4 linked regions of the Diceros bicornis minor genome follow. The protein of the gene in region 2 purifies or fractionates together with the protein of the main gene of each other region. This does not show direct contact. Links are inferred from orthologs where the notes say so. Each region holds a gene or a part of one and is shown on either strand. Other genes may lie near its edges.

Evidence for each region.
Region 1: the proteins of GSK3B (region 2) and PRKAR1A purify together in Homo sapiens (affinity purification with mass spectrometry; 3 studies listed by BioGRID and IntAct, with this or other methods). This does not show direct contact. The link is inferred for Diceros bicornis minor from reciprocal best matches to the Homo sapiens genes GSK3B and PRKAR1A.
Region 3: the proteins of GSK3B (region 2) and GSKIP purify together in Homo sapiens (affinity purification with mass spectrometry; 10 studies listed by BioGRID and IntAct, with this or other methods). This does not show direct contact. The link is inferred for Diceros bicornis minor from reciprocal best matches to the Homo sapiens genes GSK3B and GSKIP.
Region 4: the proteins of GSK3B (region 2) and AKAP11 purify together in Homo sapiens (affinity purification with mass spectrometry; 4 studies listed by BioGRID and IntAct, with this or other methods). This does not show direct contact. The link is inferred for Diceros bicornis minor from reciprocal best matches to the Homo sapiens genes GSK3B and AKAP11.

The regions. Positions count from the first base shown.
Region 1 is NC_080757.1:50,074,265-50,081,802, forward strand, and holds the start of PRKAR1A (cAMP-dependent protein kinase type I-alpha regulatory subunit), read left to right. Parts: upstream 1-4,346; 5' UTR 4,347-4,425; intron 4,426-4,704; exon of another isoform or gene 4,705-4,813; intron 4,814-5,254; exon of another isoform or gene 5,255-5,273; intron 5,274-7,538. UniProt on the Homo sapiens protein: Regulatory subunit of the cAMP-dependent protein kinases involved in cAMP signaling in cells.
Region 2 is NC_080754.1:21,499,630-21,507,807, forward strand, and holds the start of GSK3B (glycogen synthase kinase-3 beta), read right to left. Parts: upstream 3,176-8,178; 5' UTR 2,678-3,175; coding exon 2,590-2,677; intron 1-2,589. Other genes in the region: uncharacterized protein LOC131414749, read left to right, coding at 3,176-3,796. UniProt on the Homo sapiens protein: Constitutively active protein kinase that acts as a negative regulator in the hormonal control of glucose homeostasis, Wnt signaling and regulation of transcription factors and microtubules, by phosphorylating and inactivating glycogen synthase (GYS1 or GYS2), EIF2B, CTNNB1/beta-catenin, APC, AXIN1, DPYSL2/CRMP2, JUN, NFATC1/NFATC, MAPT/TAU and MACF1.
Region 3 is NC_080763.1:41,849,478-41,857,389, reverse strand, and holds the start of GSKIP (GSK3B-interacting protein), read right to left. Parts: upstream 3,074-7,912; 5' UTR 3,005-3,073; intron 1-3,004. Other genes in the region: ATG2B (autophagy-related protein 2 homolog B), read left to right, coding at 3,591-3,752. UniProt on the Homo sapiens protein: A-kinase anchoring protein for GSK3B and PKA that regulates or facilitates their kinase activity towards their targets.
Region 4 is NC_080748.1:34,204,087-34,212,349, forward strand, and holds the start of AKAP11 (A-kinase anchor protein 11), read right to left. Parts: upstream 3,180-8,263; 5' UTR 3,100-3,179; intron 2,603-3,099; exon of another isoform or gene 2,549-2,602; intron 2,263-2,548; exon of another isoform or gene 2,199-2,262; intron 1-2,198. UniProt on the Homo sapiens protein: Binds to type II regulatory subunits of protein kinase A and anchors/targets them.

The sequences.
Region 1 (7,538 bases), on a different chromosome or scaffold from region 2:
CACCTCTTCTGAGTGGCCTTCTGTGATCTTCTAAGCCTAGGTTAGGTGTCCCTTCGGTGCTCCTCAACCTCCCTCTCCCCCCATAGGTTGGCCTGTCTGTGGAAAGCACCCATGTTCCTGCTGTTCCCCTGAGACTGTGAGCTTTTTAGGGTGGGGCCATGACTCATTCATCTCTGCATCCCCACACCCAGTGCCTGCAGTGTGGACGCTCAGGAAACATTTGTAAAAGCTTCTGGACCTGGGATCCATGCAGAGATGGGCTTCAGATCTCTGAGTCCCCTGAAATAAGAGGATAAATGTCTTACGTGTGTCTGTTTGGGCATATTTTCTGAGGAGAAAGCCCATTGTTTTCATGAGCTTCTCAGTGGGGACCATGACCAAAAAAAAAAAAAAAAAAAAATTAAGATTTCCTGGAAGAGGTATAGATACATGGTCAGTAAAATGCTAACATGGGGACAAATTAACAAGATTTGTTGACTTAGTCAGTTTGACAGAATCAAAGAAAGTTCCTGATTCTAGTCAACACACTCGAAAGGTCTGTGTGGGTGACAGACTCATCACTATTTTTTTAAAGCCTCAGATCCATAACCTATAGATATAAGGTGAGCATTAGTTAAAAATAGTTTAGGCAAGGGAAATTGATATCAGAGGGAGAATATTTAGAAGCAATTCATACAAATATCTGGGCTTGACTTGTTTGTAATGATTAATTTTACGTGTCAATGTGGCTAGGCCCTGGTATCCAATTTTCAGTCAGAAATTAGTCTAGATGTTGTTGAAAGTATTTTTTGGATGTGATTAACTTTTATATCAGTAGATTTTGAGTGAAGCAGATTACCCTGCATAATAGGTGGGCCTCACCCAATCAGTTGAAGGTCATAATAGAAAAGATTGAGGTTCCCCGAGGAAGGAGTTCTGCTTCTAGACTGCCTTCAGACTCAAGGTTGCAATATCAACTCTTTCGTGGATTGCTAGCCTGCCGGCATGCCCTGCAGATTTTGGACTTGCTGGCCTCCACAATCACACGAGCTAATTCCTTAAAATAAATCTCTTTTCTCTCTCTTTCTAGATACACGTTCTATTGGTTCTGTTTCTCTGGAGAACTTGACTAATACAACTCTCTATCTCTCTTGTGGAACATTGTGGATTTAAATATGCTATTTTGGATGAAGATATTTTTATTAGACCCAAGATTGCCACACTTCTGGTTTCATGGTTAATATTTTCAATTAATGCTCAAGATAAACACTCATTCCCCATGTAGATAAGCATTTGCCAGTGAGAAAAATAGGAAGACTTTTGGCATTTGAATGCTTGCTGGAATTGGGTTATGTCTGAAACCACAACCTTGGGTTGCACAGGAAGCATAAATCCTGGGCACCACCGCACACCAAATAGGTGGTGGTAGTCTGAAAAGGTCTCCTTGGAAATCTGAAATATGTGGATTCGTCCTTAGCCAATGGAAACCTTAGGCATAAGAAACACTAAGAATGGGCCACAAGGGCCAGCCTGGTGGCTTAGCGGCTGGGTGCGCGCGCTCCGCTGCTGGCGGCCCGGGGTCAGATCCCGGGCGCGCGCCGATGTGCTGCTTCTCTGGCCATGCTGGGGCCGCGTCCCACATACAGCAACTGGAAGGATGTGCAGCTATGACAGACAACTATCTACTGGAGCTTTGGGGGAAAAATAAATAAATAAATAAAATTATAAAAAAAAGAAAAAGAATGGGCCACAAAAGTGTTCCTTCCTTTTGTGTATTGGCTCTCTCAGTTCTACTTCTGCTTACTAAATGGACCACTGATATTTACTTTGCTTTAAGATTGTTTGCTATTGTTTTGCAAACATCATTAACAGCATTTGAGGAACTTTGTTTTAAAGAAAAAAGTTTACTTACAGCCCCACTATCCTAGAAACTTACTTTGTTGAGCTTTTCAAGGACACAGGCCAAAGGAAAGGCCTGTCAAAGGACCTTGGCATCAAAGGCAGAGTCCTCTGGAGAAGGGGAAACCGCACAGAAACGACAGGAGAGCAATTGTCATTTCTGAAATGTAATTTACAAGTTGTCATTCTCACAGCGGCCCGGTGGTACTGAAAGGGCATTCACACCATTTGGAAACCACTGTGGCTCTTTGGTTTTTCAGAACAGCTGTCTCAGTGAACTCTCCCCAGGCTCAACTATCTCCTGTCCATTTCCCTTTTTGTCTGTTAAAGCCCCAGCATATGAGGATTTGGCAGCCAGAACAAGGCTGAACGCGACTGACACAGGAAACAGGCCCGTGGCTGGACAGATGCCCAAATGCAGCTGAATGGGGTCACACACCCGTGCTAAGGCAGGGAAACAGCTGTCACTCAAAGCACTGGGCTTAATATCACCAGCTTGCTTGTTTCCTTATTCTAAGTGTCTTAATGGACTTAGGGAGGTAACACTACTGTTGGGACACAGTACAACTCAGTCTTAAGCTTGTAGTTTGAGTGGCGCTTTAGGAAGAGGGAGAAGTGGGAAGTAAACATTTATTTACTGCATCCCACACTGTGCTGGGCACCTTATTTATATATACTATGCTGCAAAGGAGAGTGAGTGATTAAAGATCACTGCCTGGGTGTGAGCCACACTAGCTGTGCGGCCTTGCGCACGTCACTTAACTCTTCATGCCTCATTTTCCTTCCGTAACAATAACGCAATAATAGTACCCACGCCATAGAGTTACTCTGAGGATTAAATTAATTATTATGTGTAAAGCACTTAGAACAGTGCCAGGAACATAGTAAGCACTGTATGCGTCTTTGCCATTATTATCTTTACTAGTTAATTTTAACAGAGCCCTGCTTATCCTTTTATGATGGAAGAAACTGAGGTTCATGGCGATTAAGTCAATTACCGGAGATGGCAGAGCCTGAAACCACACTCAGATTTATCTGACGGCAGTGTTTTCTTCTTAGAACACGATCGGGCCTGCTCAATGCTATCGAATTCCCTCTCCTGCTTGCCAGCTTAGGGTTCAGTTTATTAGACCTTCTTTGTACTGACGAGGGTGAAATCCTATACGACTGAGGCGCTGTCCTTAATCCTCCATTCCTCCCATCCCTGGCGAAAGGCCAGGTCAGCATGAGGAGGGGTCAGTGGGAGGGGAAACTTCCCTCCTACATTCTTCTGTGGGCCTAATCGGCCCTTGTGATGTTGCCTACACTTGCTCTTTCAGAAAGCAGAGGATAACTCTAACTAACTAAAAGAAATACTCTGATGAGCAGGACGCTTATCACACTGCTTGATTTAGGGGAGCAGTTGGCCTCTTAGGGCAGTGCTGTCCAAAAGAAATAAAACATCAGCCATATATGTAATTAAAATTTTTCTAATAACTATATTAAAAAAGTAAAAAACAAAGGCGAAATTAATTTTAATCGTATTTAACCTAATATATCCAAAATGTTACCATTTCAATCTGGAAACAGTATAAAAATTATTGAGATATTTATATACTTTTTTTGTACACAAACCCATTGTGTATTTTACACATACAGCTCTGGAGCTATATACCATGCGATATAGCAGGTACAGTCCGACACAAGAATTTGTGTCCTCCACGGGCCTTTTTCATTTAGCGACTTTATGTGCCTAAAACTGTCCCCGGCTTCCCCTTTCTTCCTCCACGGGCAGATACTCTGATGGTAAAAAATGGCTGAGGCAGTAAAGAAGTCGCTTTTTCCCCCCTAGTCATCCCTGACTAGCGCAGTTTTTGAGGGCAGTTGAGATTTCTTGTGTGGTCACAGAGGGCTTATGCCAATCGGCACGCTTTGTACTTCTCACCATGCGGGGTCAGGCGTGATGATGGGGGGTATTTCAGGTTCTAGAAGGATTGAGGCCTCTCTCGGACCCTGACAAAGTCCTTTCCAGTGTCTTGTGCTCATAGGGACCGTGTGGCCTCCTTTGACGACAGCACCTCCGGAGGGGAGAGCAGCTCGATCTGCCAAGCAGACACTTGGCGGGGCTCAGATTTCCTGGACCGGATGGCGGGCCCGAGCCCGGAGGCCCGCGCGGCGCTGGCCGGGCACAGGATGAGCGGCGGGGCGTGCGCATCCCGGGCATCCGCCCGGGCTCGGCCCGCGGCGCAGCTGCCGCAGATCCGCCGGGGCCGCCGCCTCCTCCGCGGACTGGAAAAGGCAGGAACCTTCCCGCCCCGGCCCCGCGTCCTCCCCCGGCAGGGGCCAGGGGGCGGAGTCGCCCACCTGTCATCCGAGACGCCCCACGTGGGTCGGCCCGGGGGGGGGGGGGTGGGAGTTGAAGGGAGGGAGAAAAGGCAGAGGCGGCGAGGGAGGCAGGAGAGTGGGGAGGAGAGGAGCAGAGGAGAGAGAACTCCCGATAGCCGCGCAGAGAGCTAGCGAAGAGCAGAGGAAGAATAAAGGGGACCCGAGGCATCCAGAGAGGAACAGGTAAGGAGGGGCAGGTGAACCGAAGGAGGGAAGCACCGGGCTAGAGAGAATGGGGAAAGGAAAAGACGGGAGTGAGGAAGGGGCTGCGGATAAGAGACCAGGTAAGACAGAAACGAGCAGAAGGAGAAAGATTTCAGGATGAAGAGGGGCGGGGGAAGACCTGGGGCCGCGGCGCCTTTAAGGTTGCCAAGGCGACGGCTCTGGCCAGAGCGAGGCGCATTGACGTCGGCAGCCGAGCGCTGATTGGCTGCGGCCAGGTCGTTTCCGGTGGAGCCGCGGCGGAGCCGCTATCGCAGAGTGGACCCTGGCTGGGAGGGAATCGCTGGGAGACCTCAGCCAGCTGCAGCCTCGCACCCTCAGCCCCGTGCCCGCCGCCGCCCGTCCCCAGGTGAGTGGGGTGTGTCGAGGGCCCCGGCGCGGCGAGCTTCGCCGCCCCGCCGCCCGTTTGGGGGCGCTGGACCGATCCAAGATGGCGTCACGGGGAGCGACCTGCAGGGGAACGGCCGCACCCCCTGCCCCTCCCCGGCCCCGGCGGGCGCCTCCCCGCAGGCCTCACGACCCGGGCCGCCGGCCCCGAGTCTGCACCTCCGAGGGCCCCCGGGCCGCCGGGGCGTCTGCTCCGGTGCGGGGTTTCCCCGCCGCCCCGCCCCCTACTCCTCTCCGGCGCGCTACCCCCACTCCGCGCCCCCAGGCCCCCGGCCTCTGCGGCCTTCCCGAGCCCTCCGCGGCCATCGCGCCCCCGCCTCCTCCGCCCCCGCGCGCCGCGGCCTCTTCGCTCGCCCTCCCCCCTTTCCTGAAGGACGACAGCTCGATTTTACCGGAATCCGCCATCGTTTCCCGCAGCGTTTGTGGGTGATCTCGAGACCTAGCCGTTCTTGTTTTCCTCTCTGCTGTCTCCTGCTTGTCATGCCTAGCAGTCGCTTTCCCTCTCTTTCCCGAGATTACTGCCCCCCCCCACCCCCCAGGATGATCTTAGGCTGGCTCAAAAATTTCCTTTTGTCGTCTTTCACCTCCCTTCCTTTCCTGATTTTTTTTCTCTGAGGGGTCCTCGCCGCCGCTGTGGTCTTCCGACTAGAGTAGGATGAAGGATCGGCCTCCCGTCTTCTTTTTGTGGCCATGACGGTGGCATAAGTGAAGTGAAGGGCACTTTTCTGTCCTTCCTCTCGAAAATACGCGATACCTGTTAACCCGTCCAGCTCAGTGCAGGTGTGATGCCAGACGACTTAACTACTTGAGAGATTCCCAAGAGATCGGTCTTTTCAGCAGAGCACAGAAAGCTAACACTTCCTTAAGATGACCGCAAGGAAGTGTTCCTGGCTGGTCTGGGGGGCTGCGGTCTGAATCAGCAAGTTTCTCACTGTTTTAAGTATTTCCTCGCGTGTAATCCTTTTCAAACTGAATTTTATCACAACTGAATTTCCAAAAGAAGGAATCTGAGTATTTTCTTATGAGTAGAGACAATGCGGTGGAAGTGTTAAAGTAGTCAAGTAATTTTTGGGCGGAGAAGCTCAATTGTTGGGCTCTTAAAACTAAGTACAAGTACAGAGTTAATCTAGGTATGTTTGATTAAAAATATTAAGACCATGAAATTTCAGTATTTGGTGGTTTATATAGTGACTGCGTTAATCTTGGGACATTTTTGTTAATGTGCTACCTTATTATCAGCGTCATCTTTTTGGTCTTTTTAATACATTATTTCAGACAAAAACCAATTTCATCTCTGAGACCCAATTCTCTCATTTCTATCAGTCAGAGACCTGATTTTTGAATGATTTCTCTGATCAGTTGAATACATGTATTGATATTTCTGAAATATGTCTGAATGTTTTGAAGCACAAAGGATCTGATTTATCATTGTTCTTGAGGGCCTTCAGTGTTATTTGCTATACAGAAAATTCTACTGAAGTGGATTCTGAGTTTATATGATTCACTTGGAAAAGTGGCTGGTATAAATCTGTCCTAAAGTTAATGACCCTTTTTTTTTTTTTTGGAGTGTCTATTTCTGATGTAGCAGCATGATTCTTTTTCCATGCCTCTAATTTATGTGCCTGTCAGGGAGCTACACACTTTCTCATGGTCTGTTAATTAGTCTACTCGTTATTGACCTTTATCATGAAAGTTGTCAAAACAAAATGACTAACAGTGTAGCACTTGAGCTCTTTACTCTGGTATTTCTTTCTCTCTCTTTTTAAATTTATAGTTTTACCTCAGTGGTTTTGTGTACATTATATTTGGAAAAGTCCGATTAGTATTGAATTCAGTTGCAGAGTGGAGGGCACCTGGATTTTATCTTCTCATCTTATTGCTTAGTACAGTAATTAGGAGTTGGAAGGAAAACAGTTTATGACTCTGTTGTTAAATTACTAAACTTTAAATTCCAGGGTAAGGTTAGCTGCTCATTATTATGTATCTGTTTACTTCACATCAAGGTAGTTGGAACCCTGTAAAATTCATTAAATGCAATTTATCTATTGCATCTTCACGTAAGTTTAAAATTTAACGTGTTTTGACATTTTCCTGTCCAAATCTTTTATCGTTTACTTAGCAAGGTTTTTTTGGTCTGTTTTATTTTTTTTCTATTAAGGATCTTCCCTCCTACCAGTGGGTGGTGAGTGTGTTATCATTTAGGGCTGGAATGTAGTAAAAGAGTGTGGAATAAAAGGTTGCTTTTAAAATTCATCTGAGGTTCCTTATGTGTTTTTAAAATTTTTGATTATACTAGTAGTTGGCTAATCAGATCCTCTGCTCCAGTGATTTCTTGGGAGACATTAGAACACTCCCCTGGGGTAGGCGTTACGTATAGGGAATGTCAGATGTTCTTCCTTGTGCTTACTTGCTGTCACTTAGAGCTAACTTGTGTGCCCTTGTAATTCTCTGTCCTGTTTACCATTTACACACTTCCCACGTCACCATGATTTCTTTTGCAGGGGGAGGACTGAATGAAATTCCCTCAAGGGACTGACTCCTCAGCAGCCCGGCTCTGCAGGGGATAGTGGCTCATACTTCCTCCCAGGAGCTGAGGTTATTGCCTCTCCCTGTTGCTGCCTGCAGAGCCTAGATCCTGCAGCAGGAACTAAATGAAACACTTCTTTGGAAGAATGCTATTTCTCTAC
Region 2 (8,178 bases):
TGCTCAGCAACCTACAGTAAATTCCCATCTCTCTTCAATCTCAACCAAACTCACAGGCCCCCTCTGCCCTTCATCAGCACAAACATGAACGCATTTCTCAAATTTCATCTCTTCTTACTTTCCTATTCAGGTCCCTTTAATTCAGATTTACCAGCTTGCTTGGTAAACACAAAAATCATTTATCTGTCATACAAAAATCGCCATCTCCATGCCTCTGTTCATTCCTTCCATCAAGAATCCTTTATGCTTCTCTATCAATTCAAGTTACCGCCTCCTTTAACACCTGTCTTAAAACACACTTCCTCTCCAACCCATCTGCCTCATCCCTTTATTCTTTGTCCCTCTGAACAAAACATTCTATTTGTATTTATAATCTTTCAGTCATCATGCTATTGTTTTCCTATTTTGTCCCATAACCTGCTTCTAAAACTAAATGATAAGCTTTTGAGGCCAAAGACAATCATTTCTTACTTGTCTCTCTTTTGAATAAGGGTCCCTTAGAACACTAGCACTCTAACAAACGCCTAACGATTCCCCTTTCTTCTAAAAAAGCCTTCAAGTCAAGGTTGTCAAAAACACATAATTAGCGTCGAACTCCAACTTTTTAAATGTTAAGTTGACCTATATGTTAATAGAAAATCACACCTTTTAACCTACAGACTTTACAAAAGTTACTCCATCCTCAGTCAACATCCACACTACGGAGAATTAAGGAGTCATTTTCAAAGAAAATCATGGAAACAAAAAACTCAAAATTTTAACATTATAAGCTATTCTATTTGGCTCTCTGAAACAGATCTAACAAATTAATTACCTAAAATTGATTTCAAGTGGTTTTTAAACTATATTACCAAGGAGAAAAACATACAAACACTCCAGTGCCACAAGAGGCTCTTAAGTAGCTATTATAAGATTTGCTTCATCATAGCTGAAAATTACGCCTGAATTTTAAAATATTCCTTTTAAATGACCCCATGAAGTGCTTAGAAAGCTTGACCCTTCCCTGAAAGACGCATGGTCAGCTTTTCTCTTCACATACCCTGCATTCTGTACTAGCTAGTCACCAAAAAAAAAATTAACTTTCAAAAATAATCTCCCATTCAGCTATTACCTTAGATTACCCTGTTTCACGCAAGTTTCAAAAGCCAACATGAATTGAAATCCTGAGTTCAATTAAAAGTGATCATTTTATGTTGCCTAAGGTTATAATCAATTTCATATAACAGCATGTACATTTTTTTAATCTCAGTTCTTCAGTTCTCTTCTTCTCCTAGGCAACAAAATAGTATTCTTTGCCCTCATCATGCCCCTTTCTCAAGGAATAAGAAAACAATATATTTTTGTCAAATTCTGGAAGTATATTTAAATAAGCTGTCATTAAATATCACAGAAACATATCCACAAATAGAGAGAGATACATTAGAATATCGGATACTTAGTATACCAAACACCTCAAGAACACAGACTTTTCAGCACAAATCTGGGACAAGAGTACAGTCTAGCAACAACCCTGAACACAGCCCAAATATCCCTATTATATTCAGGACCACAGTGCTCTGCAAAATCTATGACGGAAAGGTCTAAAATCCATATTCTTATAACTAAGTCTATAGTTTTATCTAAATACGACAGGAAACCAACGCCAGAGAATTTTAAACAGTCCTAAAAAGGGACCCCTTTAGTCTAGATCATTTAACAAATACTGAATGCAATGACACCCCAAAATTGAACTTAAATGATGAGTCAGTGACAATTAACATTCAACTTGGAATGTGGCAACATGACAATAAAAACCTCAATCAAAACTCAGACTCAGTTCCAAGTTACCTTTTGATTAAACATAAATTATATACTAGTAGATCGGTAATGTCAAAGCAGAAAAGTTAAGAGAGAACATATTAAACCACTTATCCAATTTAATACAATGCATGTAGACATACTCCTGTTACTGGTATCTATCAGCTCCCACCCGCCCCTTCTAAGGGAGGAATCGATGCTCGCCCCCAGACGCCACTGCTGGTCACTGAGCAAGTTTATCTCTGGATAAAGAACAAACACTGCGTATAGTCACACAAGCAAGAGAGAAATGTTAGAAGCCTGTGACATTAAGGCTCTCTATTAAGTGTACAAAACTATGATAAGCCCAGAGATCTGAGCTAACTACAATATTCCTCATTCAAAGAGACACAGACTCTGCAAATGCACATAATGGTTTATGAATCAAGTCTTGTCCTTCTCTTTATTCCAAAGGATAAGCAAGTAAACACTCCCATCACTATTTTAACATGGAAATACTCAAGCACTTGATAAAGCTGACTACCACCAGCAAGAAAATTCTAAGAAGTGTTTCAAATCGAATCATCCAAATAAAAATCATATTCTCTGCACTCAAGGTTAATGAGACCGGGGGAGGTATGGGAGGAGAAAAGAGGGAGCTGCCTCATCCTTGACTGAAGACAGGTTTTTGCGCTTTTCCATTACCTCTGATGGTTATATCAGGAGATCTAGGATCTTAAGATCCTGGTATTTCAAGGTTTCTTATTTTAAAGGTGAGGTGAAGAAGGGGTATAAAATAAAATCAATACTCACTGCTAACTTTCATGCTGCCAAAAGCTGAAGGCTGCTGCACTGGCTTGCAGCTCTCCGCAAAGGAGGTGGTTCTGGGCCGCCCTGACATGATCACTCTCTTCCCGAATCACCTTTTCCTTCCTTCCTCCTTTGCTTCCTTTTGTTTTATGTTGGGGTATTAGGTTAATGATAAATGCAGCATTAAGTTCTCCCACAAGAAAAAGAAAAAGACTTCGTCCACTTGGCTTTTCACTCCTCTTGTACAGCTATAAAAAAAAACGAGCGATGTATTTCTCCTTCAAGACAGATCAGTATGGATATTGAACATATAGATGATTTGGGGCTGGGAAAAAAATACAATTCTTTCCCCTCCCTTTCCTTGTAGGGGAGAAAGGGGGGAGGAGGAATCCTAAAAAAAAAAAAAAAAAAATCACGTGCAACGGGGACAAATACTTGATTGAAAATAAGTACTTTGAATATTATATATTCCTCGGGATTTTTTTTCCGAGTCAATGAAGAAGGGAAGCGGCGGAAGGATCACGAGTCTCACGCTTGAAAAGAAGGGGGGATGGGAAGGAGGGAGGGAGAGGGAGGGGGTGGCTCGGAGATGCGACGGGAAGCGCTGCGGCTCCGGCAGCGGCGGGATCCGGCTGACTGGAGGGCGGCGGAGTCGCGAGGCAGTCAGAGGCGGGCGGTGGCGGCGGCTCCTCTCCTCATTGCGCCAGGAGCAGCTGCAGGCGGCGGCTGGATCCAGCGGCCATGGCGGCGGCGGTGGCGGAGGCAGCTCCCTTCAGATCCCAGGCAGCGGCTCCTCGACTGCTCCCCATACGCCGGGGACATGGGAACCCGGCAACCGCTTCCGTCCCTCGGGGCCCCCTCCCCCGTCCACGGCACCAGCGCGGCCGCCCTCCCGCCCCTCGCTTCTGCTCGGTGCCCGCTCAGGAAGCGTCCGCGCTTTGCCCCCAGCCCGGAGCCCTGTCAGCGGCTGCGGGGCCGGCTCCTCCTCGCTTCCTTCCTTCCTTTGTCACTCGGCCCGGGCGGCGGCGGCGGCAGCAGCAGCGGCAGCACAAGCCCGCATTCGCCCGGGTCGGGGGCTGCTCTGTGTGAGGAGCGCCGTCTGCGCAGCCGCCTAGCTCTTCCCCACTCCCCCTCCCCCCTCCTACTCGTCCGCCGCCTCCTTCCTCCCCCACCCAGCCTTACACCGCCCAGCGCCCCGCCGCCCGCGTAACAGGCGTCTAGGAATTGCCGGCCGAGCCCCGCGACCGCCCGCTTCGGCTGGGAAGCCGAAGACCGAGCGGAGCCAATCACGGACGTCGTTTCTTTGCGGCTCCTCCCGGAAAAAGCCGATGGACCTGAGGAACCAATTACAAAGTGTCGCTGGAAATCCACGCCCAAAAAGCGGAAAGTGCCGAAGATAGCCGAACGAGAAGGTGGGTTCGCCTTGTTCTGTGGCTGGGTAGAAGAGAAATTCGACAATGGCAACAGTGGCCAATCAGAGTCGCCGGCCCTCAGGAAAAAGCTTGAAGAGTTAAAGGACGGTGAAACCCTGCGTTGCTGGTGAAACGGCACCGCTGGGCGCCGCGGCCGCTTTGTAATTGGCTGAAAACTCCGCTGGGAGTGTTCCTCCCTCGCTGATTGGTGAAGAGAAGGGGGCTTCCGAGGACAGCCTGGCCAGTCAGAACGTCTCCTCCCTCGTCGAGGTGGGGAGAAGAAAAAAGCGAAAGGAGGGCGTCTATAAAGCGCCTTCTGATTGGCCTGAACCTTCGGAGCTGGCGTGGGGGCAAAAGGGAAAGGGAGGGAGGCCGAAGCTCGTGGCGTAGCCAATCGGCGCTCACCGCCGTCCAATCGCAAGACCTAGCTGCCATGTGATTGGCCTCTGGCTTCCGGCGGCGGGCCCAGAAGCGGGGCGCAGCTCGGCCGGGGTGGTGGCTGAGGGGCTGGTCTGCGGCTGCTCCCAGCCGGCGTGGAAACCGCGGATGAGGAGCGCGGGCCCTCCACACAGCCGGTCCGAAACCGCTGCGGTCGGCGGGGCTGGCTCGGAGCGCTCGAGCGAGCAGAGGGTTAGGGGCTCTCCCCACCCACGGGAGGTCTCGGCGGGCGCGGCTAGGTCTGCGCGCCCGGGCTCCTCTCCGCCTAGGATACCGCGTCTTCCCCGGGTGCGAGTTCTCAGGCACTCAAGTGGGGACAAAGCTTCCAGAAAGGCAGCGCCTCTGGGCGGCCGCGCCCCGCGGCGGGGCGGTTGAGACAGGGAGGCCAGCTGCGCCTTGTGCGCGCGGCCAGGCCGGCCTTCTGGAAACGCCCCTGAGAAATGAGCTCATGCTGGACGCGCGCGCTCCTTGGGCGTGACTGCCCAGCGCAAAACGGGCTCGAAAGCAGGTGAGGGGAAATGCCGTCAGGCCGGATATCCTGAAGCTTCCGAGGAAACGGAATCAGAACAGCCCTTAGTAACCCTTGGTCCTTTGGACCTAGGGTGATCTATGAAAGTACCATTTAAGTAGCTGTCACACGTAGGCCAGTGTTCATTCTACAGAGAACCAGTGCCTTTGGTTTGCTTGGGGACAGTGAGGTATGGCTACGTCTGGAAGCAGAGAAGGTAGAATGGACAGTTGCCATCCTGATTGTAAGCCCGTGGTGCCTGTAATTTCCATCTGCAGAGTCATCCCTTTCTATTAAGACAACGATTTCCAGCAAGTACATGTAAAAATATCCATAGTTGATCAGATTACCTAGCTATTGCTTTGAAAAACTGATGAGGGATTTGGGATAGAACTAAGTAAGCTTTGATGGAAGACAGGAAAGGTGTAGATAGGGTTTTTAAAGTCAAATGCCTACAGGGGCCAGAAAAGTAAAGCAAATAAGTAAACCGGGCCTGGTATAAGACAATGGGGAAGGATAAGGAATGTGGCAAATTGGAGTGTCCGTGCTCTAACTGAAGGCAGCAGCTGTTCAGCTCTGGCAGATTGCTGCCCTCAGGAATGTGGGTCCAGTGTTCTCAGATAGTCTCTGGTTTTTTCCCCCTCAGAGAAATTCTAAACCTGTATTTTTATGTGAAATCTCTTGATTTTTAAGTGTTGGCAACCAATATTTCAAAACCTTGCAGGCCAAACTGAAAACATCCAGGGTAAATGTGGCCAACATGCAATTAATTTGTCATCTCAAGCCTGAGCATGGGTTTTATAGCCCAAGAGCAGTAGAGGCTCTTGTTCTTTGCAATTAAGAGGGAACACGAGGGCTGGCCCCATGGCTTGGCGGTTAAGTGTGCCCGCTCCGCTACTGGCGGCCCGGGTTCGGAACCCCGGGCGCGCACCAACGCACCGCTTGTCCGGCCATGCTGAGGCCGCGTCCCACATGCAGCAACTAGAAGGATGTGCAACTATGACATACAACTATCTACTGGGGCTTTGGGGAAAAAAAAAAAAAGGAGGAGGATTGGCAATAGATGTTAGCTCAGAGCCGGTCTTCCTCAGCAAAAAGAGGAGGATTAGCATGGATGTTAGCTTAGGGCTCATCTTCCTCACAAAAAAAAAAGAGGGAACATGAGGTTTCTGGCTGTCATGGAGGAGGGTAAAGAATGTTAAAAGCAAACTCAGTGCATGGCAACTTTGTCAGATGAAATGTTGCCTCTCCATGTGAACTATTGTTAAAGACCTTTGCCACTAGTTCCTAAAATGCTGTGAGGCAAAGCTTTAAATCCTGCCTTCCTCTTTCCTCCCCATCCCTACTCCCAATTATACCAGCAGGAAAGTGAATAACAAATGTTTTGGTTAGGGGCTTGCCCCTGGCTCAGTGGCTAAGTGTGTGCACTCCGCTACTGGCGGCCCCCATTGGGACCCGGGCACGTCGCGCCCTGCTTGTCTGGCCATGCTGAGGCCGCATCCCACATACAGCAACTAGAAGGATGTGCAACTATGACATACAACTATCTACTGGGGCTTTGGGGAGAAAAAGGGAAAAAAAAAGAGGAGGATTGGCAGTAGATGTTAGTTTAGGGCTGATCTTCCTCACACACAAAAAAATGTTTAGGTTATACAAATTGGAAGCATGGCTATTCTTTTGTATATAATAAAGTACAAAAATAGTCTACCTTAAGGTTATGATTAGTAACTGTACCATTACCGCCTTCAAATATTTTGAACTGATGCTGTTAAAGAAAAAAAAAAAAAAAAAGTCTGGGGGCCAGCCCCGTGGCCTAGTGGTTAAGTTCAGTGCGCTGTGCTCTGGTGCCCAGGCTCAGTTACCCAGAGACCTACACTACGGGTTGGCAGCCATGCTGAGGCAGCCACCCATGTACAAAATAGAGGAAGATTGGCACAGGTGTTAGCTCGGGGCGAATCTTCCTCAGGAAAAATAAAATCTGACCAAGATGGGGAAATTTGATAGAAAAAAAAGTATTTCAGTCTCAAATTAGGACTTAAGGAGGGAGAAGTTTATGAGAAAGTACGGAACTACTGAAATTAACATTCAATGGTTGTTTGTGTGAACTTTCAAACTCTTACTTTACCTTCCCACCCGGTGTCAGCCACTCATCAGTTTATAATAATTTTAATAGTTAATATTTACTGAGTGTTTACAATGTGCCCAACACTGTTCTTAAGTGCTTTGCACATGCTATCTCAAATTCATAATAATACTATGACGTAAGTACTGTTACCACCTCCGATTTTCGGATGAGGAAACTGAGGGCCAGAAAGGTTCCCTGACTGACCTGAGGTCCACAGGGCTAAAGCAGCTGAGTCAGGATTCAGATCCCATGTTCCTTGCCTCTGCTCAGTACTTCTTTCTCAACCGCAGTCCCCACCTCTCCTGGTGTGCCTTGCTTTATCTTCAAGTCTGAGCCTCATGTCTTGAACTGTGTGTGCCTAGTTGTGAACATATGCCTTTGTTTGGTTTATAACACTTTGGTTTCCTCCAGGGCTAATCAGATGGTCCCTTGCAGAGATCAGTGATTCTGAGCCACAGTAACAGTAAACAAAAGGATAGAAAAAGATAAATATAGGAAAGCTGGGTGGTACAGAACAAGTAAGTAGTGTAGTAGGGAAAAAAAAAAAGGTTGGTGGGTGTGTCCACAGGATAACAGTTATAAATTAAAATGCACAATGAACTAGCTTCTGTAGTAATAACAAGTATTTGTATAGCACTTTGCACTTAGCACGTACTATGTTTATGAAGTTTAGGAAGTACTATTATGAAACTATTCTGTTTTTACAAATGAGGAAACTACACAGTAGAGTAAGTGACTTGCTCAAAATCACTTAGCTGCGTTTCTAATTGAAACTGGAAGAAAATATAGGCAGGTTTAATAATGAAGATAGCAAATAGGATATGAGATGCACTTTATTTAGATGAACCCAGAGTCAGCAATTCTAAACAGAAGTCCATGAGCAAACTCTCCCTAGGACCTCACTTACTTGGCCAACATATATTAAACACCTAAATGTGGTTGGGTGCTGGTCTTCAAAATTTAATAAGATATGGTCTCTTTGCTCCAGATACTTGCAATCAGATACCATGAAATGAAAAAGTGTTGTTTAGTAATAAACCCTAGAAAAACCCTCTGATGTCAAAGTGAAGATTAAGAGGAAGAGAAAATAAATTCACATTTTTTGAGTG
Region 3 (7,912 bases), on a different chromosome or scaffold from region 2:
GAGGGCCAGAAAGCAGTATCTTAATCATGGTTACTTTTATTCGTATCATACATCATGGTCTGGAAAACTCTCTCAGCATGAACAAGAAGTGGTCAGTACGGCTTAGTATGGTGTTGGGCACACGGTAAGCTCAAGAAATATTATCTATTATTATATATTAAAAATAAAGTGTTTAAAAACATCTTTAAAGAAGAAAAGAGCTGATCCTGAAACTCAAGCAGTTTGACTAAATTCGGTGTTTTTATGTTACGTAGGGTGACTGTGCTGCTGCCTTGTGCGACCCCAAGAGCTGTGCAGTCTGGGAGCCCTAACATCATATTCCTGTTACCTCAGGTGCAAGTCTTAAAAAAAAAGTGCCAACATCATCTTATCGGCTTTGATTTCACATATAAACATGGATTTCTTTGAAGGATGGCCCATCCAGCCTCTAGTATATAGCTTCTAACCTGTCACTTCAAATCCTTTCACAAAATTCTGAAAAAGTTGACAGTTTGATTGGAAATTATCTTCACCTTCCTCACTTAATTAATGCTGTTAACATTTTGTGATAATACTTTGTCTTTGATAAAACACAAAAATAGCACTGTGATTTAGGGTGAGTTCGCACCCTATTTAAGCTAAAGATATAATCATGACAGCTCCTAAACCTTAACATATATGCTGAATTTCTTCTAGAAAGCATAAAACATATAAGACAACACACTTAACACTTTGAAGGGAGTATGTTTGTTACAAAATGTTCCAATTTTTATTTTCCTTTTCTGATATTTGAAATCTCAGGCATTCAATGGACAGCCTGAATGTAATTCTATATTCCAAGGGAAATCACTTATTTAACATATGGACTTGAAAGAAGTCAACTGTACCCATCCGCCAAAAGTCCAGTTCAAACCTCCCAAGGCCTTTTGTAATTCCCTGCCAAAAGAGATCTCACATTTTCATACCACTTTGTTTATATTCCTTTTATGGCAAGTATTATCATTATTATTCACAAACATGTCTTATCATCTTCAAAATATATCTGCCTACCAACTGCTTCTTACCATCTTCACTGCTGCTACTCTAGTCCAAGCCACTGTCATCCTTTGCCTGGATTATTGCAATATCCTTCTGTCTTCTTTCGCGTGGATTATTGCAATATCCTTCTGTCATCTTTTGCCTGGATTATGGCAATATCCTTCTAACTGATCTGCAATATCCTTCTTCTGGTCCTCCCACCCCCACACGAGTCTTATTCTCAACACAGCAGTTAGAGGTCAGATTGTCACTTGTCTCCTCGACCCCATTCACCCAGGGTAATGGCCGAAGTCCTTATAATGGTCTACAGGCCTGGCATGACTTGACAACCCCTCACCCCCTGTCTCCTCCTCTTTCCTTTACTCCCTCCTGGTGTTTCTTGAACTCACCAAGCATGCTCTTGCCATAGGGCCTTGCACTTGCTGTTCCCCCTGCCTGGAAAACAACTCTTCCAGGTACTCATGTACCTTGCTCCCCAGCTTTCTCCAAGTCTCTGCTAAAATGTCACCCTATTAAATAAGAGAGGTCTTTCCTTACCCCTCTATATAAAAGTGGCAAATCTTCCCCTCTCCATTTCCTTTATATTGCTTTATTTGTCCCTATGGCACTTACCAGCACAAGGCATATGATTTATTTGATTATTGTTTGTTTTTCCTCCCTTCAATAAAATACAAGCTCCAGGAGGGCAGGAACTTAATCTGTTCACTGCTGTATCCCCACACCTAGAACAGTCCGTGGCACATGCAGGCAATCAATAAATATTTATTGAATAAAGGAATCGACTTTTCACTCTAGAACATAAGCTCCTTGAAGGTTCTGCCTGATTCTTTACATTTTCACATCACCAGTTGTGGAGACTTTTATTTAACGGATCCTTAACAAATATTTTTGAATAAATGAAGAGCAAGGGAATTGAAGTTACCGAGAATGCTTGGGACAAGTCTACGAAGAATGAGGGGCAGCAACAATCCAAGCAACTACATACACTGGAGAGCACACTGGTTCTAAAATGAAAAAGTGGTTGTGGAAAGGGGAACCAGAGCTTTCTCTGTCGACATTTCTGCTCTGTGTTAGTAATCCTAAGGCATTCATGAAAGTTATCAACATCTAAACAAAATCTCCTTAAACAGGTCGTCTTCATTTACCATCCTAAATTAAACTATACGTTATCAGGACTCTGCTTAGGTTCGTTCCCTACTCTTATCATTTAAGCTTCATCACAATTCTCGGAGATAAGATATTAACACGCTCACACTTGGCAAAGGCTCAGAGAGGGCAGTGGCCGGTTCAAGGCGGCTCGGCTAATAAATGCCAGGGTCAGGATTCTGACCCAGGACAGAAGGCTTCCAGGCCGCTGAGCACCCGCACGCAGGCCTTTTCGGGTTGACTGAGTGAAGAGCCAGCTCCGCCCCTGCAGTTGTTGTCTCCTAAAAGGCAGAAATACGATTGCGCAGATTCCCAGAACAGCACAAACACTTCGCTCAGGTTTCTCAGGGGTCGGGAGGCTTTGGCACGGATCAGAGAAGGCAGTTCTGCCCACAAATGCCTCGAAAACTCAAGTTTCCTGGTCTTGGTGCAGCCCACCCAGGATGAAGAAAGCGCCCTCTGAACTGCAAGCCACTAGACACACAGTAACGAAACGAAGCTTTGGAGACAATACCTGAACGAGGCAGGGGACCAATAACTTGCCGACAGTGGGCACCGGTCAATACTCGGGGGGCGGGCGGGGATGCTCGAGGGCGGCTGCAGCTTCCCCGCGGCGCTCCGAGCGCCCGTTTCCGGGGTCGGGGTCTAAGGTGACCGGGACGGCCCAGGCCGGACCCGCCCCCAGACTCCTCTCGGCCGCCGCACGGGCCCCTTCCGCCGTCGCCCCTCACGGCCCGGCCGCTGCGCCGCGTCCCGCTCAGAGGGCCCCTGGCCCGCCCCCGAGCCCTCTCAGCGGCCGCCCGCCCGCAAGCCCGCGGTCACCCCCGCCCCGGCCGCTCACCTGTGCGCAACCGCTGTCTTCTTCTTCCGCCCTCCCGACGTGTCTGGAGCGGACCCGGCGCCGCGCCCTCTCCTCCGCCTTCGCCCCGCCCCCTCGGAGCCGGAACTGCTCCCCTCCGGGCCCTTCTCCCCGCCCCCCCGACCCCCAGTGTGGCGTCACTTCCGCCAGCGCGGGGTCGCGCGCCGGGAGCGTCCCCAGAGCCGGGAGCGCGCCTGGCGGATGACAACAAATTCTTTGCGCCGCGGTGGTGGAGGTGTCCCCCTCAGCCCCTGCCGCGTCTCAGCGCCCTCTCTCGCACCTTTTGCCTGTGCCCACTAGGACCCCCGCGGAAGCCCCCGGGCCTGGGGCGACGGGAAGTCCTCCGCCTTGTCCCCGCCAGGCCTAGCGCGGGCGGCGCAGGCGATGGGGTCGCCCTGAGGGACGCCTGGCGCCTTGAGGGCATGGAGGGGCCACCTCGGGCTTAGGCCCCGCCGCGGTCTGGGGACGCCGGCCGGGACCCGAGGCACCGCCGCCGCGGCCTGGAGCCGAGCCTGCGCCCCCAAGGCCAGAGCCGCAGCCCCCGCCGGCCCAGCTGCCAGCCCTCATCATGCCTTGGCCGTTTTCAGAGTCCATCAAGAAGAGGGCCTGTCGGTACCTCCTGCAGAGGTACCTGGGCCACTTCCTGCAGGAGAAGCTGAGCCTGGAGCAGCTCAGCCTGGACCTGTACCAGGGCACCGGGTCCCTCGCCCAGGTCCCCTTGGACAAATGGGTAAGAGCTGCCGGCGGCCAGCCGGGCGGGACTCGCTCCCCTCCTCGGGCGATTTGAACGAGTGTCATCTAAGACTGGTGACGTTCCCTGGGAATTGTTTGAATCCAAGTGTGGCAGGGCTCAGAGAAATGGGTTCAAGTCTTGTTAAATCTGTTTCTAGCAAGTTTGCGCCCCCAAATCACGTGCTGCGGAAACTGAACAGAGGTAGTGAAGTCTGCACTATGCGAATGGGTTGAGTCAGTGGTTTGGGGTCTGGAAGCTGGCCGGAAGGGGTCCATCGGAGGAGGTGACCAGTGCTGCCCCTCGGGGCAGGAGGGGTCGCGGGGTTCTGTGGCATACAAACCCCGTTTCATGCGATGACACTCCGGAAAGATTAAGGATGAGGAGGGCCTTTGGGGATGTCAGAATTCCCAGTTACTCCTTTATTTATTTTGGGTTGGCTACTCGAACGCCGCGGTCCCGTGACAGCGTTTGCCATCTGGAAGAAAGTTAGGTGCAGGCCTCTGCCGGTTTGCCTGCTTTTACTTGACGATAGGTTAACAAGGCCAGCCTGGGAATGGTTGTGGCCCTAGTAGTGCCGTTTAATTATGCCTGTTTGCTTCACGTGACAGATCGTAAACGCAGGTGTTGCGAAAGCACTGAAGCTGCAATTTTCAGACATTTTAAAACCTGTTATCTATTTATCCTCCAGAGCTGTGGGTTGACTCATTGTGTCTTACAGGTGCTTCATGTGTATTTCAACGCGCCGCGTACAGTTGTACCTGCATTTGTATGTTCAATGCATAGTGTTTTGCTTAAAGTATATTCAGCTCTGAGTTTGACAAGAATAGAGTGGCTTTATTTATTGCACTAGCGTTTGCTGCTTACGGTTTGAATTGGTTTGTACCTTTCTAGAATTTTGCTATCCTAAAAACATTCCTACACAGTTTACATTTAGGAAATCATAAACATAGGTGACTTTCCTATGATAGTTGTGCCAAACGAAAGGAAACCTTGTTTTCTTCCTGATTTAAGGAAGAAGCTTAAGTGTTTTTTTTCCTTTTATGTAAGAGCATTTTTAACAGAGTAGTGACTTCCTTAGCCATAGAAACCTAAAAAACTCAAATTATGGTAACACCTCATTATGACCTTTAACTTGTACCAATATGAATAAGCATATAATTTTATCAGTAAGTAGATGACTTAAACGAGAGAGGGTACACAGGATAGTGGAAAGAACCCTGGTTTGAGTAGCAGAAAGACCTAGTCCCACATCAGGCTAGCCCTGGCTGCCACAGTTAGCCAAGTGACAGTGCACATAATTCACCTGAATTCAATAAACATTAATGGAGTGTACACTCCTTGCCGGGCACGGGTGTTAGGGTACTGTATGGCTGTAATTCTTACTAGAAGATAGGGATTCTGATGGATTTTTTTTTTTAATTCAACCACCCATAAATCTATACTTTTGGTACAGTTATGAATAGGCTATCTTGAAGGAGGAATGTTGGACATTTATTAATTGTCTTTTGTGGGTTGAATGGCTTTATGCATTATTCTTTAATGACTTTTCTTTTAATGATCTATAAGGTGGGGTGTTATTTCCATTTTACAGATGGAGTTAAATAATTTGCCCCAAGTCACACAACTAGCAAGTGGTACAATGAGAATTCAAACCTATCTAATTCTTAATTCATTAATCACATGGCTTCAAGCCAAGGAAAGGGTAGTTAATGTTTATTGAGCATTTATTTATTTCAGACACTCGGCTAGGCACCTGAATTAGTGTGGTTTTGTTTAATCCTCATGGGAAATCAGAGGTGGTTTTATATATATATAAATTTTTTTTTTTTTGTGAGGAAGATCAGCCCTGAGCTAACATCCATGCTAATCCTCCTCTTTTTGCTGAGGAAGACCAGCTCTGAGCTAACATCTATTGCCAATCCTCCTCCTTTTTTCTTTTCCCCAAAACCCCAGTAGATAATTGTATGTCATAGTTGCACATCGTTCTAGTTGCTGTATGTGGGACGCGGCCTCAGCATGGCTGGGGAAGCGGTGCGTCGGTGCGCGCCCGCAATCTGAACCCGGGCCGCCAGCAGCAGAGCTAGCGCACCTAACCGCTAAGCCACGGGGCCGGCCCAGAGGTGGTGATATTTGAATTTTACAGTTTGACCTCAGGATCGTTGGCAGAATAATTTATGGCTAGATTTAATCTGAAGATTATGTTTTATTCTGCTCCTTGAAGGTGAGGGATATGCCTAACAAAAATGATAATGTCAAGTAAAGCATCCAGTATACATTTGCTGTTGCCGATTTATTGATTTATTAATTATAGTGTGCTGTGTTGATGACTAAGATAAATCTTGATGTGACACTTAGATATAAACTATTCAAAGTTTTGATTCCAAATTCAGTTACTTTTGACATTTGATTTTAATGACTGTCATGACTGAAAAAAAGATACCTCACAAAGATTCATAGATCCAAATGGAAGAATTGCATCGTTGGCAACATTACTAATGTTTCAGTTCTCAACCATCAGTTGTGCACAGGATTGTGTTGAAATTGCTGTGACGTTCCCTTCTTCCTTGATCTCAATCAGTTATTCTTGCTAATTGGAAGGTATTTGATTTTTATATATGTAAAAAATTAACTTTAAAACCTATTTTTAAAAACTCTGTTCAGAAAACTTTTAGATTCACTGGAATAATCTTTCCATGTTTTCAAATCTTTTATAATCTGTGTAGATAATGACTGAAAAAATAGTATTTTTAATAGATATATTTCAGCAACAAAATCATGTAACACTGGAAATATTTCCAAATATAATTTTTCAAAATGTTCTCCCCTTAGTACAAGTATCCTTTGAAGAGCAGTTACTTTCTCACTCATTATTTATTTTTTTTTAAACTTTTTTTCTTTGGTGAGGAAGATTGGCCCTGAGCTAACATCCGTTGCCAATCTTCCTCTTTTTGCTTGAGGAAGGTGGTCCCTGAGCTAACATCTGTGCCAGTCTTCCTCTACTTTGTATGTGGAACACTGCCACAGCATGGCTTGATGAGCAGTGCGTAGGTCCACACCCGGAATCTGGGCTCCCAAACCCCAGGCTCCCTGAAGTGGAGCCTGAGAACTTAACCATTGCACCATCGGGCTGGCCCCTCTCACTCGTTATTGAAGTGATATCTTTACTTTGACAAGATAAAGTGTGTTTTGTTTTTTGGAATGTACCTGCTAGGTAGCATATACTACTGGTAGCCATCTGTCATCACATAAATGGTTAGCATATCTAGAACTCTTCTCTTTGTGTAGAAGAAAATTGCTTATCATCTTTAAATTTAACTCGTAAACATTAGGCCGTTGAAAACCCAGGAAATCAGAAAGTTATTGTCACTTCCTGTCTCTTTACAAAGATTCTACTGTTCAAAGGTCTGCTTTTATTATGTAGAATATAGTATGCTCAAGTAAGTTGCAGTGTGCTGAAGGGGAGCATCCAGCTGAGGGCACCAGCCTTCACTCTTCCCCATGGTGGAACTGCTAGTCTGATGTATGGCTGGAGTGAGGGTGCCAATGCCTATTTGTATGTTGAATATTAGTAAAACTTTTAAATCTAAAAATGTGAAAAATTTAATATAGAATGTCTAATTTTCTTCTCACATCCCTGTACATAGATCATCTGTTTTTCTTTCTGGAATATATATACCCCCCTTTGGAGATCACTACTTTAAAAGGGCTTGAAGTGGGAGGGAGGAATAGAGACAAGGGGTTTGGAATTCTTCCGCAATTGGAATGGGCTGTCTTATAAGTTCAGAAGTTTTTTTCCCATTGAAGTGGTCAAAAATGCAAAATGTTGAAAGAAGGAAATTCTCTTTGGATAGGAGGTTGGATTTGATGACTCTCTTTCCGCTCCTTAGGACTATGACTTTATTCTTGTTTTTTTATTGAAGTTTTTTCATTACTTAGTTCAGTACATTTATTGAGCTCGCAGCATGTGCCACTATGAGGGGACAGGGAATATAGCAGCGAACTAGATAAAGACCCTTTTCTCGTAGAAGTTCAGCATGTCCAGGAAGATAGACGTGAACAGTTTATTACATTGAAGACTTTAAATTTCAATTTAATAATCTTTCTGTTGCTTTGCTATTTATACTGTACTGGTATGTATAATAAAATTATTTTACATT
Region 4 (8,263 bases), on a different chromosome or scaffold from region 2:
AATTCAAATGAGTTTTTCTTCCTTGCAATCAAATCACCCTCAAGCCATTAAAAGAGGTCCAAGAAAAAATACTGAGTAAGCAGCTACTATGTACTTCAAAATAACTTTTCGAGGTATTTTAACTCTCATGTCAGGCATGAGGAAAAAGGGGCTCAGTGATATTAACTAACAGAGCTGCCTGACTCCAAAACCCGAACTCTTTTCACTATTTTCACTATACCTCATTTTCACCCAAGTTAACACCCAATGTGTTCCAGGCCACCATGCCATTTATCTTATTCTTTCCCATGAAACATTCTCAGATTAATCCAAAAATGTTTTCTCCTTTTATCCTGTCCAGTCTCTAATCTATACATTTGAAATGTCTTAAGTACTGAAAAATAAAATGAACTTTTATATATAAAGATGAGTAGCAGAATGAAGACATTTGAATCTGTTTGGTCTGTTTTTAAACAGATAAAGTATTTTTCTTTCCTTTCCCTACTTTACCAGTTTATACACCCTTAACTAAAGCCTAGGCTAAGCTTAATCTTTTCCTGACCTGCCCCACCCCTCATTCCCTCCAAGCGGGTGATTTTATTACTAAAATGGAGGCCACTTCACAGAAAAAGAATAAATTCATTTTACCTAAATAATTATCCTACCCAAAGTTACTTCAATTTCTTTTCAAAAGCAAGACAAAACAAATATCTACATCCTAAAAGCCTGAAACCCTTGCCAAAAGGTCGTAAGGACCAGCAAAAAATGCTATTTTTCTATATCTGAAAATCAGTTTGCCAAGATGGAATGGAACAAAACTTTTTAAATCTAGACTGGTCCCTTTTGCCCATTCTCAAAAAGACATTTCTTAAGTTTTTCACATTTTCTCCAAGTATAGACAGAACTCCTCTGCCTATTTATAACTGGAAATTTCCCTAAAAATGACCTATAATGTATCATCTGATTTGATTTCCTTTTCCAGACAGTAAGTTCCTGAAATTAAAAAAACAAAAAAAAAAACCAGCAACATTAAATGTACTATCCTTCTTCCAGCCTCTAAAAGCAAAGGAGGACTTCAGCTTCTAGACTCACTCCAGCAGCTGGGAAGCTAGGGAACTCCTCATTGTGGTTCAGGGTCTTGGGCAAGTCCCATAACAATAGTTCACTTACGTGGGTACATACACTAATCACTAGTTACCAGTCAGCTTGGGAACCCATTTGTTCTGATTGCCTTACATTCTCTGATCTCTCATAAACTGCTCTGTTACTCACAGCTACAATTAACAGTGAAATTCATCTTCAACCCTTGGGTCAGTTCTGCCAGAAGGAACATAAAAAAGTATAACCAGTACTACTTGAATAGTACTACTTGTACAAATACTATTTGACCAGGTATTTTAAAAGATTCATTAAATTGCACTATTTTAACTGACACTAATCCTGCTGAGAATTGAGCTGCCATTTACCCTAAAATTATAAACAAGACATTAAAATCATCTTTGCATGACTGAGTACCCTATATTTTCCGAGTACTCTGAATTTTCTGGATATTTCCAGACATATCAAAAACAGTATCAATCAATATAACACCCCTAACAAGGTGGGAAGAAGCTAAGGAAAGCTTACATGTTTTGCAAGGGACTGCATAATTACAAAGCTGAAAAGAGAAGCGGAATTTTTAACGGTGGTTTGCACTAAGACCATTAGATACGTCTCAGCAGTATTTCTCACGTTGAAATTTCTTTAACATCTTAAGCTAAACCACTTCCAGTTTAATAAGGTTTTAGAGACGAAAAGCAGAAGTAAAGAACTGTCACCAAGTCACACCCACTGTGGTGGTTTAGATGCTACTACCATTGTCATTGGCCAACGTTTTAAATACTTTGGTCGTATCTACATTTTTTTTTTTTTTATAAAGCAGCTTAGGTGCCCGGAATAATCGAAGTGGTATACCCAATGCACTTGGAATATGCATGGCCTGTATTTAAGCCATTAACAGCCTTGGGGGAAATCTGACAGCAAATCCCAATATCAATACTCCGACGGGCTTGACGTCTTCCGTTTCTGTCACAAGATTTGGGGTGCGCCCGGTTCCAGGGCTCAGGGGTTCTGACAGTGAAGGATGCTGTTAGGGGACAAAGTGCAACGCCCTCCTCCTCCTGCATATGCTCCTGTGCGCGCAGCACCAACACAAGCTAAGCACACACACCACCACTCACCGAGAGGACCCGGCTCTGAAGCCCACTCTGGGGTCAGAAACTGAGCTTGTCATTCAAGGGCTGCAGCCCCAACGCCACACTTCGGACTCCAGAAAGACCCCACTCGGGCCCGAGGACACTCCCCTCCCCCCGGCCCAGTGCCTTGGGCTTCCTCCCTCCGCCCCGCTCCTCCTCCCACCGCCGAGCGAAGGCGCAGCTTTGAACAGCCCCGAAGTCAGAGCAGGGACTGCGGGCAGGCGCAGGGGCTGGGGCGCCCGAGCTGGGCCGCCCCATCAATCGCCGCCCCACACCCTGCCGCCACCCCAGCCAACGCGCTGCTGACGCCGCGGGCCGATCCGCGCCCGGCTCACCTGGGGGCCGTAGCCTCCGCAACTCACAGGCACGTAACCGGCCCGCAACGACCAGTCGCGAGAGCTGCCGAGCAAGCAGACGCCCCCTCCAGCACCGGCCCCCAGCCCTCCCCCTCCCCGCCCCCGCCCTGCCCACCCCCTCCTTCCGCCGCCGCAGCTCCAGCCCGCTACACCACCTAGTCCCCACGCCTCCCACTCACTCTCGCGAGAGGGGAGCGCGCCTCTCGCGAGAAGACCTCCGTTACCAAGCCCGCGCAAAAGTGGGTGGGCTTTTTAAAAAGCAAAGAAGGAACAGGAAAAACGTTCCCACGTGCTCCGAGGCAGCTAGCCGCTCGGCCCCGTGCGTCACGTGATATCGAGGCAGCCTCTCCATTGGCCGGAATCCGCTCAGCCGTGGGAGCTTTAAACTCGAGTCTGACCTACGAACTTGCGGCGGACGTCTTGCGCGCTTCCTGGTCCGTTACCTTGGAAACCGTTTAACCCTTTCCCCTGGCAAAATACCTAAGCCGTGGCTTGCTCTGCGGGTTTGGTTTCAGGCCCTGCCTCCTTACCTTCGACCCCTTGGTCTTACCGCCTGGGGTCAGCGGGGCTCCTTCTTCGCCACAGGCGAGCTTTGCTCTCTTCTGATTCCCGGGGCCCCAAAGCGGCAGCCCCGCAGATCTGACGGCCCAAGTAAGGCTCATGCTTTCGGGGTGGCTCCGCCCCTTCTCCCCAACATCTCTAGGGAGGACCACTCACAGCGCACCAGGCCAGCGGCCCTATCCGAACCTCAACAAAGCATCGAGGGATCTCCGGGCCCTAGTGCTCACCGTTGCGTCTCTACGCGGTATCAGAATCGGAAGTAAAGCATGGGTCACGGAGAAACCCAGCCCTAGATGAAAAGCTAACATACGATTTTCTCCACTTAGAATAGGAAGGGCTAGTCCCGTCAAGTTGCACAGTCTCCTCAAGGACATCTATTTCTCAAGGGTGTTAATACCTGATAGATGAGAAAGACATTTTTCAGTGTATCCTCATTATGAGTTTTGTCCTGTTTGGGAGAGAGGGGCAGGAAAAACAGGGAGCATTCGTATGTTCATTTCTTCACTCAACAAATTTTTATTAAGCTCCTGTATTTGTTAGGCGCTACTCGAGGCTGTCCATTGAGCAGCGATGAAGACAAGTGTAGGTTCTAGAGGGCTTATGGGGGAGGGGGAGAGAGAAGAAAGAAAAAACCTGTTATTGTTAAGCTGTATGCAAAGAAAATACAATAAATGATGTGATGGTGATTGTGATTGGGTGGCTACTTGAGGGGCGGCCCTTTCGAGGAGGAGATATTTAAGCAGTGATTTGTATAACGGTCATGCAAATATCAGAGGAAAGAGCATTCCAGGCAAAGGAAACAGCTAATTCAAAGGCCCTAAATGGGGTTTGAGGGGGAAAATACAAGAAAGTAAGAGGAAATAAGCTTGGAGAAGTAAACAAACATGGGCCAGATCCTGTAGGGCTTTGTAAGCCAGGAAAGAAATTGAGAATTAGAATTCTAAGTGCAATGGAAAGCGTTGGAGAGTTTTAAATAGGAGAGAGACACCTATGATTCACTTTTTTTTTATTTTTTAAAGCTCTTCCCGGAAAAGAATATCTTAAGAAGGCCACAGAGGAAGCTGGGATATCAGGAGACTTGTAGTCCGTGAGAAAGACAATCCTGAAAGATTTAATTTCCAACGACTTGGACATTCCTCTTCTAAAATCCATTAGGTCAGAGCTCTGGTGCTGTTTTGTGCCTTTGTTAAGAGCATCTAGATACGTCTTCAGTTACTGCTATTTAATTACAATAGGAGAAATAAACGGGAATTTTTTTGTTACTTGGGAAAACAAATGGCCCAAAAGGAATGTGTCTTTTGATTTTTTTTCCCTCCAGTTACACCACACAGATAACCACCTCTTCTGTCTAAAAGTCAGTTCTAGGAAAAAGCAACATAAAGTGATGTTCAATGCAGAAATTTATTCCTAAGGATAAGATTTGAAAAGATAGAGGTTGAAGGCTGGAAAATGAAGATGTCCACTAAAAAAAACAGAAATCAGGAGACTCAAGTTCCAACTGGAAGACCTCTCATTGGTGACGCAGCCAAATCAAGGTACCTTATCATCCTTGAGTTTCAGCTTCCTCATACACAAAACAAGGCAATCTAACTAGCCTACACGCAGAGTGGTTAAGTTTGGCATGCACACACCAGTAAGACGGAAGCTGGAAAGGGAAATGAAAAGAATCTTTATAAAAACCTGATAAGAGTCAGCAGCACAAGCTAAATGAAATTGGACACTCGCGCACGCGCACGCGCGCACACACACACCGGCTGAGGAACTATGAAACTGATTAATACAGATACCAGGAATGCTTCCCTAAGAAATCTTGGCCTTCTCAGAGTGTGAAAATGGAAGCATTGCCACCTGCTCAACCTCCTGTTCCCTTTCTCGGTAGCTATTTTGAACCTAGGTAGTATTGAATAAGTAATGTTTCACATGTTCCTAATCAAGATTTAAGAAATAGAAAATAGAGCTGAGGCATTATCTTCACGTTAAGCTAACACCTTAATTTTAATGAAAATAAGATTTCAAGAAACATTATAGGGTTACTTTTTAAAAGGAAAAATGCTAAAAAGAGAAAAGGTATTGTTTTAACAAATTAAGACCATTCTTTTAAAATGTTGAAAGAACTGAATACTCTTTTGAGTGTTTTTTGCCGTTCTTATAATGATTAACTGAAACAGCTGCTTGGTACTGCTAATTTAGATGAACAATGGACTCAACTCTACCGTCCTAACATGTATGAATAGAGCCCGAGATCCTCCCAGTTCACCCTAGCAGGACAGTCCTTGTGGTCTCTTTTGCTAGCTACAATTATTTGGACTACAACGAATATAAAGCAAGAAGAAATTTAGGATTGAGATTCCTTTCTATAGATGTCCCTAGTTCCTGGATTCTTTTTTAAATTATTTTCTTTTTTTAACTGCTTTATTGAGATACAATCCACATACCATACAATTCACTCATTTAAAGTGTACAATGCAGTGTTTTTTGGTATATCCCCATAGTTGTGCAATCATCACCAAAATCTAATTTGAGAACAGTTTTGCTCCCTCAAACCCCATACCCATTAGGAGTCAATCCCCCACCTCATCCTCAACCCTAAGCAACCACTAATCTGCTTTATGTCTCTATAAATTTGCCTGTTCTGGAAATTTCATGTAAATGGAATTATATAATATGTGGTTGGTTATACCTCACTTCATTCACTTAGCATAATGTTTTCAAAGGTCATGCATGTTGTAGCATGAATCAGTACTTCATTTCTTTTTATCGCTGAATAATGATTCCATTGTATGGATACAGCACATTTTATTTATCAGTTTATCAGTTAATAGACATTTGGGTTGTTTTTACTTTTTGGCTACTGTGAATAATGCTGCTTGAAAATTTGTATACCAGTTTTGTGTGGATGTTGCTTATTCCTTTTTAATACTTTAAAAAATAAAATTTATCCAGTTTACAAAGTCCATATTTCTTTTCCTAGCACAGTTACTTTGCTCCTAGCTTTGTCTTTTTTGCCTGCTGTTTGAAGTATGTGCACTCTAGCCCCAGAAGGCTGGCATTTGTATTCTGGCAATTCACATCTGACCATGTCAGTCCCCTGCTTAAAACCCTTCAGTGGTTTCTTATCTCCCCATGATCTACCTAACTTTCTCCTCTGCTCTCCTATCATTCTCCCTCTCAGAAGTCCTACTTTCAGTTCCTCAAAATAGGGCCAGACCTGTCCTGCTTCCTTCAGTATCAAATGTTCTTTCTCTGTCCATCCCCCTTAGCCTCTGAATTTCCGTGAATCCTTCAGCATTCAGCTCTACTCTCATTTCCTCAAGAACTCTTGTCCTAACTCCCCAGACTAAGTAAGCTCCTCCTTACCCAGGACTGTAATTTTCTTCAATGCTTTGATGAATTTATAATGATTTTCATTTGAATGATTATTTGGTTAATGTCTCTCTCCTCTACTAGACTGTAGGATTCATGAGCAGGAACCACATCTGTTTTTACTTACACATGCCTGGCATATGGTAGGTGTTATTAGTTAGTCAATAACTACAGAAAGAAAGGAAAGAAGAAAGGGAGGAAGGGAGAGGGAGAAAGAAAGAGAAAGAGACAGGCAGAAAGAAAGAAAGAAGGAAGGAAGGTAGGAAGGAAGGGGAAAGAGAGAGAGAAAGAAAAAAAGAAGAAAGAAAAGGGAAAGAAGAGAGGGAAAGAGGAAAGGAGGATGGAGGCGCTCCTGCCCAGGTGTGATGTCAGCAAACCACAACTTAACTTCCCAAGTCCCTGCAAATGCTTCACTGCATCAGAAACACGGCATACCCAGTCAGCCAATCCCCACAGGCCAAGCCAACTCTGGGCTCTATACTCATTTCCTTGTTCCTTCTGACCGGAAACAAGGTTAACTCTGTGGCCCCAGGCAATCAGATATTTTATTTTTCTCTTCCTTGCTTTTTATTCTTTATCCTATAAAAGCTTCCTGCCTTATGCCCCATTTTGTAGTTCTCTGAATGGAGACTGTCCGCTTCATGAAGTGTTCAAGTTTATTTGTATCACTTAAATTGTTTTCTTTAATGATTTTTTTTTAACACTAGGAGTCTTCAGTAAAGTCTGCAATGTTATAAGCCCAGTCTATGCTGTGGTAAGGGGATTAATGGAAAGGCCTATCCCATGCTTGGGATGGGGGAGCAGGGGACACAAGTCGGGGCAGGGGACACTACAGAAGGGAGGTGTGGAGAGGGGAAGGCCAGTGGTGTACTAAGGAGCTAAGGCAGCAGTGTGACAAGTCAGAGAACACAGGCTGTGTGTAAGTGCACCTAAGATTATGCCTAGGAACGCCTCACATGTCCCCAGGGAACATGTTAGTGGGCTAATTTTTAGCAATCACCTTGATGCTGTCTCCTCCAATGTAATTTTGCTATTTAATGGAAATGTTACTTTCATTTGTTTACATAGTCTAATGTAGCCAAGACATTTGGGTTATATGCACATGAAAGAATTATGACCCAGCAACACATGGGGCACTAAATGTCATAGTTCAGACTAAAATTTGCTGGTTCAGTCTAGTTCTACCTTTCAGTGAAACTGAGCATACTCCACAAAGCTAGCCTCTCAGCTTAATCCTCCCAATGACCTTTTGACTACAAAGGCAGGTATCATCTTTCCCCAGGAACTTGGGAGCTTTACACTAGCAACCTCTGACAGCCAGAAGCAGATTCCATGTCATGTGGCTTCCTGTTTGAAAACTTGAGTCTCCCTTTGGCCCACTTGCTGAATTCCTGTTTCCTGCCTGAGTGATGGCCCCAGCTGGCAGTTCACTTGTAAAAGAGAAATGTAAAGTCCTTCTTTTCCACGTTGCTCAGTTTTGGGATTTTGTTTTTTTATGCTAATGAATTAATACACATTCGTTATGTAGAACATTGAAAAATACAAGAAAAGATAATGGAGAAGACCATCTTTTCTGGTGATTGCTTTACATGCATTACTTAATTTAATAATACTTAATAAACCAATGTAAAACATTCTGAAAATGGAAAAAATGTGGAATTTATAATTTTATCAGCCATTTAAACATGTAAAAATGCTTTTTAACCTTAAAAGATAAAGTATCTCATTCATGCCTTTATTTTAAAAGCATGTATATTACACCACAGTCTG